Linked DNA regions of Caenorhabditis elegans. The protein of the gene in region 2 interacts with the protein of the main gene of each other region in a biochemical or structural test. Each region holds a gene or a part of one and is shown on either strand. Other genes may lie near its edges. The genes, in order: tra-1 and lin-39.

Region 1 (5,084 bases), 3.7 Mb from region 2:
AGAAATTTTAAGTTCCGAAAACTTGCCGGATTTTTCAACTTCCGGCAATTTTCCGATTTGCCGGAAATTTCGAATTCCGGCAATTTTCTGATTTGCCGGAAATTTTTAAATTCCGGCAATTTTCCGATTTGCCGGAAATGTTCAACTCTGCCAATTTCACCCGATTTGCCTGAAATCCTCAATTCCGCCAATTTGCCGGAAATTTCAACTTTCGGCAATTTTCCGATTTGCCGGAAATTCCAAATTCTGGCGATTTGCCGAATTGCCGGAAATTCCAAATTCTGGCGATTTGCCGAATTGCCGGAAATTCCAAATTCTGCCGATTTGCCGGAAATGTTCAACTCTGCCAATTTCACCCGATTTGCCTGAAATCCTCAATTCCGCAAATTTGCCGGAAATTTCAACTTTCGGCAATTTTCCGATTTGCCGGAAACTCCAAATTCTGGCGATTTGCCGAATTGCCGGAAATTCCAAATTCTGGCGATTTGCCGAATTGCCGGAAATTCCAAATTCTGCCAATTTGTCGATCTGCCGGAAATTTTAAATTCCGGCAACTTTCCAATTTGCAGGAAATTTCAATTTCCGATTTTCCGGAAATTTCAAATTTCAGCAACTCGCTGATTTGCCGGAAATTTTAAATTCCGGCAATTTTCCAATTTGCCGGAAATTTTTTAATTCGGTTTGCCGAGCCATTTTTGCCCAAAAATTACAAAAATTTTTGAAAAAAGGCGGTGTCTAGAGTCGAAAATCGCCCGTTTTTTTAAATTCAAAAATTTTTTCTAATAAATGTATATTTATAAATTGTGGAATTTTCTATTTTCTGTGGAATTTTTTGGTCTAAAACTGAATAATTTCTCTAGAAAAGCTGAAAACGGGTGGTCCATCCGACTCCATCGGGCGATTTTCAAAGAAAAAATGTGGGTGCAAATGCGCTCTAATGCGAATTTCTTCCGCATTTTTTTTCGTTAAAACTATTCAAATTGCCGCCGAATCGCGCGGTCATTCTCAACGGAGCGCGATTTCCCGTACCATTTTCGGTTTTCACGTCGCCACCACCAGGTTGTTTGTCCTCCGAACCCATTTGCTTGGCCTGGAAAATTGTAAAAATTGATTTAAAAAATTCATGAGAAAATCCAGAAAGGGCCCAAAATTTTAGGGAATTTCTAGATAAAATCCCCTAAAAAATGAGCTTCTGACTGAAAAAATCCATATTTTTTTGCATTTTCAGGGCGTGCTAAGACCCAAATTATACTTTTCTGACCTCCTCATCAACCGCGGCGGGGGTGTGCTCGGCGGTGCCAGTGTAAGAGCAAAAGTGCACGAGAACTTCAAAATAATATGTATGTATTTTTATCGGAATTCTCTGTCTCTCGAATTTTGGATAGAACAACTCCTTATCAGTCGAGCGGAAAAAAAAAACGACGTGGCAGGAGCAGCAACAGCGCCCAGCGAAAAAAAAGTAGTGGCGGAGCAGTGTTCGATGATCAGAGGAGCAGAAATATTCGGGCGGTCTAGACGAGGTAACGGTGGTGATATGAACCCGAAAAAGGAAATGAGAAACATGTAGAGCTGAGAAAATTGAGAAGAAGAAGAAGAAAAATATAAATTCTCACGGTTGGACAACCCAGAGACGAGAAAATCGACAAGTTTTTGGCGGGAAAATTTGGCGATTTTCGAGGGAAAATCGATTTTTATATTTTTACAAGTGCTGTAAGAGTGTCTCATTTCGGCTTGATCTACGTTGATCTACAAAAAATGCGGGAAAAGAGACGCACACTTTTAAACTGATTTTGCATGGTTAAGAACGTGTTATTTTTTTGGGCAAAAAATTCCCGCAATTTCGTAGATCAACAAAACGTGATGGGACAGTCTGGCACCACGTGTTTTTATAGGACCGCAGAAAAAAGGTCCGGGGTGCCGCCGAAAAAATGTTCAATTTTCGGTCTGTTTTTTTTTTGAGCAAAATGAGCAAAATTTGAAAAAAAAAACCGGCAGGCCTGATTCAGGGGTGCGGGGTACTTGCCGGAATTGCCGGAAATAATATTTTGGAAGTGTTTTTGAAATTAGACGCCTAGACATGCATTTTTTTGACCCGACTACAGAAAGCCCCATTTTTTTCAGATTTTTGTCGTTTTTCCTGGGTTTTTTAAAGGAATTTCTAGGAATTTCTCTTCCCCGGAGCCTGAGCCTAGGCCTAAGCCTATGCTAAAGCCTAAGCCTAAGCCTAATCCGTCGCCTAAGCCTAAGCCTTAGGCTGAGACTAAGCCTCAGCTTAAGCCTATGTTTAAGCCTGAGCCTAAGCTTAAGGTTAAGCTTAAACCTATGCCTAAAAGCCTAATCCTGAATCTAAGTTTAAGCCTAAAAGCCCAAGCCTAAGCCTAAGCCTAAGCCTGAGCTTAAGCATAAGCCTAAGCCTAATTATAAGCCTAAAAGCCTAAGCCTAAAACTGCGATTTTCAAGCTCAACATGTTGTCAAACTCGAATTTTTAAAATTTTTAAGTTTGAATTTAATTCTTTAATTCTGATTTAATTCTGAATAAGGCTAAATTTTTAAAATACAGTTAGGTTTGAAAAAAAAGCTTAAAAAGTGGGAAAATCAACAAAAAATTGAAATTTCGGACGTTTTCAGTTCAATTTTAAGCGAATTTCGGTGAATTTTTCCGGAAAACCACTCCTGGTACGTGAAAATTCGATTTTTCTCAAATTTTTGTGATAAATCTGCTTTTTCGAAAAGTTTTTGTCTGAAAAATGTGCATTTTTCCAAAAATCTACGAATTTTGCGGTAGAGATACCGGGATTTCGCTAGAAATGTTCGATTTTTATGGATTTTTTTTTCAGCTTCACAAACTTACACACTGATCGACAAGCTCCACCTTATTCCACCCATTTGCATTCTTTTTCTTCGAGAAGCTTCCACGACGTTGAGCCTCGACAACCGTATCGGGATCCTGGAGAGAATTGATTTTTAACGAATTTTTAATGTGAAAATTGTAAAAATTAGTTTTTTAATTCAAAATTCCTCGAATTAACCTCAGTACTGGGGGCCATCATGCCGCCGTTTTCGTTGTTTTTGATTTCCTGTTGAATTTGGAGAGTTGCGTTGAAAATTGCTTGACGCGGGGGCTCTTGATGCTCCAAATAGTGTTGATTATTTAGAAGATGACGTGGCGAGCCTCCTGGCACATTCTCTGCAAAAAAAATCAATAGATTTGAAGGATATTAGGCAGAAAAATGAGAAGAAAATCTTTAAATTTAAATTTAAAATTCAAAGAATAGAGTTCGTGGTGAGACCCATCGCAAGAATTACTGCATGTTCCTTTAAAACTACAGTAAGGCTCGATTAATTTTAAAAACTTTTTGAATGAGAATTCGCCAATTTTTCAGTGAAAATCAGTAAAAAATTGGGAACTGTTAAATATAAAAATACATGACTTTTTCAATTTGAAAGTTTGGAGCCAAAAATTTTCAAATAACGGCGCAGAGAAATTAATTGTCGGGTGGGTCTCGGCACGATCGTGGTGAGACCCGCTAAAAACATGGAGAACAAATATTTTGAGTTTTCCAGAAAAAACAACGACAAAAAAGGAGTCAAGGCTTGGGTGGTTTTTTTTTTTGAAAAACCGTGCACAATTTTCAGTACTCGACTGATAGCACATATACATAGGAGAGAAGAACATCTAACCCCCTTGGCGATGCGAAAATAGCATACGAGACAGAGAGACGCCGTACATTGGTGGCGTAACTGATAAAAAACTGATAATAAGTCTCAAAACCACCGCGGGCACTAGGCGCCAGCGCCGAGAAAAAGTAAGAAAAAAATAAAAATGTTGAGAAGAGGGGGAATAGTACTGTATCTATAGCCACCGGTCTTTTTTTTTGGAATTTTTTCGTTTTCGCGAACGGAAATTCGCAAAAAAAGGGAAATTGAAAAAGTAACCAGTGAAAGTGATTGGGAGGATGATATATATTGATAAGGGAGACCGGTGGAACGTGAGAATTTTGAATTCCCGCGCTGGACTACGGTAGGAAGGCGAAATTGGGATTTTTTGAAAAACTCTGGAATTTTCGAGTAAATTTCGTCTAAAAATGGAAAAAAATGTTGCGAAAATATTCTAAATTTTCTTTGAGGCGACTGTAGTTTTTTTTATTATTCGCCAAATTTTGAAATTTAATGCAAAAAGGTGTGCGCCTTTAAAGAATACGGTAGTTTCATTTTTTTTTGGAGTTTTTTTTTTGCCCAGTGTTTATTGTTAGTTTTTAAATAAATAAATAATACATTTTCAAAAATTGATAATAAATACCGGAACAACGAAAGTTTCAAAGTACAGTAATTCTTAAAGGCGCAAAACCTTTTGGCATTCAAGAAAAAAATTTTCGTGCCAAGACCGAGTACCGTATTTCTCGCGGAAAAAAATCGCTAATAATCGCGTTTGTGTGATATTTTTCCGCTTTTAACATTCAAATCAGGTGTGGGCGGAAAACAATTTTTTATCGGCAAACGGCCAATTGGCATTTTGCAAAATGAAAATTCCGGCAAATCGGCAAACCGGCAATTTTTTCGATTTGCCGGAAATTTTTTGAGCAAATTCTATGAAAATATCTAAAGAAAACGGGGAAAAACTTCAAAAAGGCACAGTTTTAAGAGTTTCCGGCAAATTGATATCCGGCAAATCGGCAATTGCCGGATATGAGAAATTCCTGCAAATCGGCAATTTTTTCGATTTGCCGGAAATTTTTTGAAAATTGTAAGCAAACTCTATGAAAATATCTAAAGAAAACGGGAAAAAAATTCAAAAAGGCACAGTCTTACGAGTTTCCGTCTTATAAAAAATCTGTCTAAAAATTTTCGGCAAATTGATATCCGGCAAACGGCAAATCGGCAATTTGGAGAAATTGAAAATTTCCGGCAAATCGGCAAGGTTTGCCGATTTGCCGTTTCCGAACGGCAATTAGTTTTTTTTTTTAATTTTTGAGTATTTAGTTTTTAGGTTAAATTCGACTAAAAAATCTTAGAATGTTTTTTTTTCCAATTCAACATGAAAATTGCTTTTTTTTAAAAATTAATTTCGGAGAAAAGAAGCAGA
Region 2 (5,071 bases):
GCTCTAAAACTTCAAAAACTTTTTAGCAAATGTGTGTCTTAATCGAATTTAAAGCTAAAAATAACTACCTGTTGAGCATTAAATTTGTTATATTTATCAAAACTATCCACATTTCAAATAACCTTTTTTTATATTTAAAAATAGTTAGTACCAGTGCTTGGAGGTTTTTGCAGCTTCCAATTGTGAATCTAAAAAAGTACAAAAATCGATGGAACGATCATTAATCTCAATCTGAATACTCTTCTTCCTCTTATTCTCCATTTTGTAACTCGTTCTCATAAATTTTATTTCAATTCCTACTCTTCCAATGGTAGTCACCAGGCGCCAGTCCACTCACTTCAAAAGAGAAAATAAAATTGATCGCGTTGTCAGATTATTTTCAGAAACGCTGAGGAATTGATTGATTTTCAATTTTTGGCGGGAAATGACAGAAGTTTCAAACCAGTGGGAGGCGCCAAAAGGGTGTTAGAACTTTTGAATTAAAAAAAAACAGATGAAATAAAAAAAAACTTTCAAGAAATTTAAATTCCACATGGACCCGAAATGTTTCAAGAACTAATTGTCTCTGAGCACCTGTTTATTTTTCAAAATGGTTTGTTTTCAGAAATTAAATTCGATTAGCAAAAGTTAACCAAATCGGTCTCAGCGCTTTGCAGAAACTAGAATTATTTGAAGGTTGTCAAAAGTGCGGCAAATAAAAAATTGTGACTTTCTATAAATCTGTGAGCATTCCTTTATTTTAATTATCCCGAATCACACACTATTTTAGTTATTAAAATTTTACACAAATTTAATTTTTGCCAATAGAGGAGCTTCCTAACTATAACGCTCCAACTCTTGCTTAAAGTATGGTGACGTTCAGAGAACTTAAAAAGATTACGAAATTCGAAATTGCTGAACTTTTCTAAAATATCATTTCATCTACTTAAATTTGTAGTGTTTTTTTTTTAAATATAATACTGTTTTAAAAATTACCTTTAAAGTTTCGTAACTAACCTGATCTCCGAGTATTGGATATTGAGGACCTCCCAGTCCTTGACTTGAGGCAAAATATGAAGCAATTTGAGAAGAACTAGTCGGATCATAATAACTTCCAAAATGAGCAGAAAGTGCAGCAGACGCTGTCATTGGATCATATCCAATTGTACTCGATAATTCAGAAGATGATGGAATTCCAGATGCACCCACAGAAGATGTGGATGATGATGAAGAAGATGAGGATGAAGACGAAGAGCTTGATTCAGGAGCTGTAGCTCTCGGTGCATCTGTGGATGACGGTGATGTTGATGTGGTCATCTGGAGTGAAAACGAGTGAAAGTGATTGATAAGAATTGATTGAAAAGAGATGAAAAGATGAGGGGAGGGAGGGGAAACGAGGTGATATAATAAATGAGGACGAGAGGCGCGTCGGGGCGGTTGAACATTTGTTAAAAATGTGACGTCTCCCTCTTTCTCCTCTTTTCTTCCATTGCAAAAGAGACAGAATACCGGGCGCCATCCTTCCCCGATCCCGCCCATTTCTCCTATTGGACGAAGGGTGGAGTCTCAGAAAGCGGAAGGGATGAGGGAATAGAATAAGAGGACGATAGAGATGAATGCAGTAGTTAAAAAAAGAGATCAAATTTTTTTCATTGAAGTAGATCATTCAGATATTCCTAAAGTCTACATATCTTCAAAAACCGAATAACTAGTAGAATAGGTATTTAAATTTGAACAATTGTAGTGAGAGCAAGAAAACTAACAATTTGTGCTGCTAGTCTAGAATTCAGAGATACGTGTACAATCGCAATCAATGACCGGATCAATATCTCCCAAGAGCCCAAATTTTCAACACAAAAGTTAAATACGATGATTCAGTTCTTAAAATTTTGAAGAACTTTCAGCAACCATCAATTTCTTTTACAGGTGATCAGAGCTTTAAAATTTATTAAAATTCCTGGGCACATATAATTGAAACCAATAAATTTCAGAACACGAATTAGCAATAATTACCGTTTGATAGATTTTAAATTTTAATTTAAGAACCTTGTTTTTTTTAATTACTGCATTCATCAAAAGGAATTAGATCAACCTATCAACTACTTGTACCTAATCCTTAGGAAATCATTAAAACTAGGAAAACAACAAAAGCTTAAGAACGGAAACAGAACAAAAAGAGAAGAAAAGTAAAGAGTTGGAAATGGAGAGAGAAAAGATGATGGTGATAAATTGAGGAGCAATCTGCGAGAGACGAATTGTTTTTGTGGGTGTGCTCAAGTGGGTGGTCATGGTTTAAGACCCGCGGGTTTTACCTTATAAGATTGGATAATTGCTCTAAATAGCTTTATATAAACTAGTAAGCAATCTATGAGGTCAAGAAGAAGTATGGACTAGAAGTCTTTATGTGTTTTCTCTGTAGGCCTAAGCTCTGAAATGTTACCTAACACTATTCCACACATTCTCCATGTCTTGAATATTTATGTGACTACTGATTACAAAATGAAATTTCAGAAATATTGAGGCTGTGGGCAATCCTCGAAATTTGACGAACTCAGCAATTTCGGTAGATTTGTCGCACACACCTGACAATGAAGCTTTTAAGTTGGATAATTTAAAGTTGTGATAATAGCTTTTTTAAAGTAAGATTACATTTTGTTTTCTTCTATGATTCACAAATTAAACGAGGGTGAGATTCAATTTATTTAAATGATCGGCAGAATAACGGGAACACGGTAAAAAGGCGCCTTCGCAACGCCTCATAAAGTGCAACATCTAATCTGGGCTCATTTCTTCCAGATATGTTTTCAATTTTTCAATGGTATATTCTCCAATAATGCAACATAAAATGTTTTTTCGGAACGCAGGTAATTTGAATAAATTCCTACAACAAAAAAAAAACAGCAGAAGCCAAAGCCGAGTATCTAAAAATGTTTCAAATACTGAAATTTAGTCGATAACTTTGCGAAAATATAAGAGGGTTCCGAAATAAACTAGATTTTAAACGTTTTCTGCCACAAAGGTGGAAAATTGATATTTGAAGTACATAACTTGCAAAATTTAAAGACTACGTTTTAAATAGTAGAGAATTTTCCTATAACTTTTTCAGGTGACCTCTAGGTTCAACTTATTTAAAGTTAAGTTCCAGTTTCATTTAGAACTTTGAGAAGCTTTGTGCCAGGAGTGGATTTAAAAAAAGAGAGATTTACCTTAATTCTAGAAGGTCGTAAAAAAATGTTGCCAAAATTCTATTGTTGGTATTGCCATCGGAATTTCCTCTATCGCCCTCCCACTTCATGTCTTCTAATCCGGGCGGCACGCACAAGAAGACGCAGACGTACTGATACACGTGAAGGGTGGAGCATGCTTCTTCTCCAATCTCCCCCACTGTCGGCATAGATCAAAGAGGTTCGTGGAGCCGAGAGCACATCTCTTGCTCTCGCCTTTTCAATTCATCACTGACAGCGCTGGATGGACATGGGGTGAGAACGACAGGTACCGTAAGCTTTTGGGCTCCAAGAGTAGAAGAGTTGAGCAGAATGAATTTTCGCTTTTAAGTTGCCGCTTTTAGGAACAAAATCTTGACCAACTTTTTCCCATTGGACAAGTTGTCAAGAGTCAGTCGAAATGTGCTCAATTTTATGAACTCTCTGATTTTATAGATATGGAATTGTTACATGAAAATTGGAAAAATGGCAAAAAGGGAGAGTATCTCGGCTTTGGGCTAAAACTTGAGCAGAAATTGAGCAAGGTTTCGACAACATAGTCTAAGACAAGTATTGTCAAAGCTCTTACCAACTTTTGCCAACATCTGATAGTCCGCTTTTTGAGCCAAATGCCTGGTATGCACAAAAAGTTCAAATGACCAAAAGACGAATTTCTGTGAAATTTTAAAACGGCGTTATGGGAATTTTGAAAAACGTTGAAGTTTTTCTAGGTCATTGATCAGATTTTCTAAAAATTTAAGCTTCTAGCTATTTCTAGCTAAATTAAATGTTATCAATACTTGGTCGACACCAAACACTATTTTTTGGAATTGTCAAGATACCTAAATATAAAAGTCTACAACTGAAGCATACGCTTAATATGTTTTCAAGATTTTGCAAGGCATCTGAAATTGCTTCGAGATTTCCAGCAGTGCCTCACCTTGTTCTTAAAAGTAAAAGTTCCCGAAACTTGAGGTTTCAGAAATGCCAACTGCAACTGAATTGATTCCAACGCCTCTTACAAAATGAAAGAATAAAGTTCTAGAAGTTCCCTACTGTAAACATGCAAACAGAGATATTTAAACTATTTATAAAACTTAAAATGTGTTACTTTTGTTAACTTTGAAAGTCTTTTTTAATTTTTTGATTAAAATAAAATTTTCAAATTAACAGTACATAGAGAATTACAAATTCTCAGAGCCACAACACATGATAATGTACTATAAAAGGAAATAACCCAAACACATCACATTTTTTATTTCATTATCAGTTTTCTCAATCTATAAATGATCCAATATCCTCACACCTCTCACAGTATAGATAAGGAGATAAGAATTGCATAACACTGTGGTAATAAATAAAAAAAAAAAGTGAGTAAATGATTAGTAAGTGATTATGCAATTGACTCAAGTCTATTTCCTGTCTCTTTTACAGTGATTTATGAGTGTCAGGAAGCATCAAGAAGTGTGGAATGAATGGCATCCAATTACTCATTTGTAGGTACACGAATCAAGAAAAAATAGGTTGAAGAAGTGTAGGGATCTTCTCTCTTTTACAAATTGATGTTCGACAATTCCTCATTTTGATTTTTTTTGGTCTTCCAATCTAGTGCAAACAGAAACGAGATAGAATGAGTTACAGTAGGAAGTTCATTAATCAAATGACGAGAAAAAGAGGGAAAAGTAATGAATACATTGAAGCATAAGACAAAAAAGAAATGAAAGGAAAGGAAATTGAACCACCGGGGGATGCCTGGTGAAAAATGAGAAAAGAGGTAGCGAGTTTGGAAAATTGGAGTTATGAACTATATCTGAAAAAGTCAAACGAAAAGGGTTCAAAAGATCTAGAATATAAGCATCTGGAAACTTTAGCGTAACTTAACCCTAAAT

What was found.
Region 1: the proteins of lin-39 (region 2) and tra-1 form a complex in vitro, tested with the Caenorhabditis elegans proteins (one study listed by BioGRID).

The regions. Positions count from the first base shown.
Region 1 is NC_003281.10:11,192,013-11,197,096, forward strand, and holds the start of tra-1 (Sex-determining transformer protein 1), read right to left. Parts: upstream 3,190-5,084; 5' UTR 3,052-3,189; coding exon 3,031-3,051; intron 2,949-3,030; coding exon 2,853-2,948; intron 1,091-2,852; coding exon 1,030-1,090; intron 1-1,029. UniProt on the Caenorhabditis elegans protein: Plays a major role in controlling sexual phenotype. Terminal global regulator in a well-characterized cascade of sex-determining genes. Promotes female development. Interacts with tra-2 to promote spermatogenesis.
Region 2 is NC_003281.10:7,533,405-7,538,475, forward strand, and holds the start of lin-39 (Homeobox protein lin-39), read right to left. Parts: upstream 3,229-5,071; 5' UTR 3,186-3,228; intron 1,297-3,185; coding exon 997-1,296; intron 1-996. UniProt on the Caenorhabditis elegans protein: Transcription factor.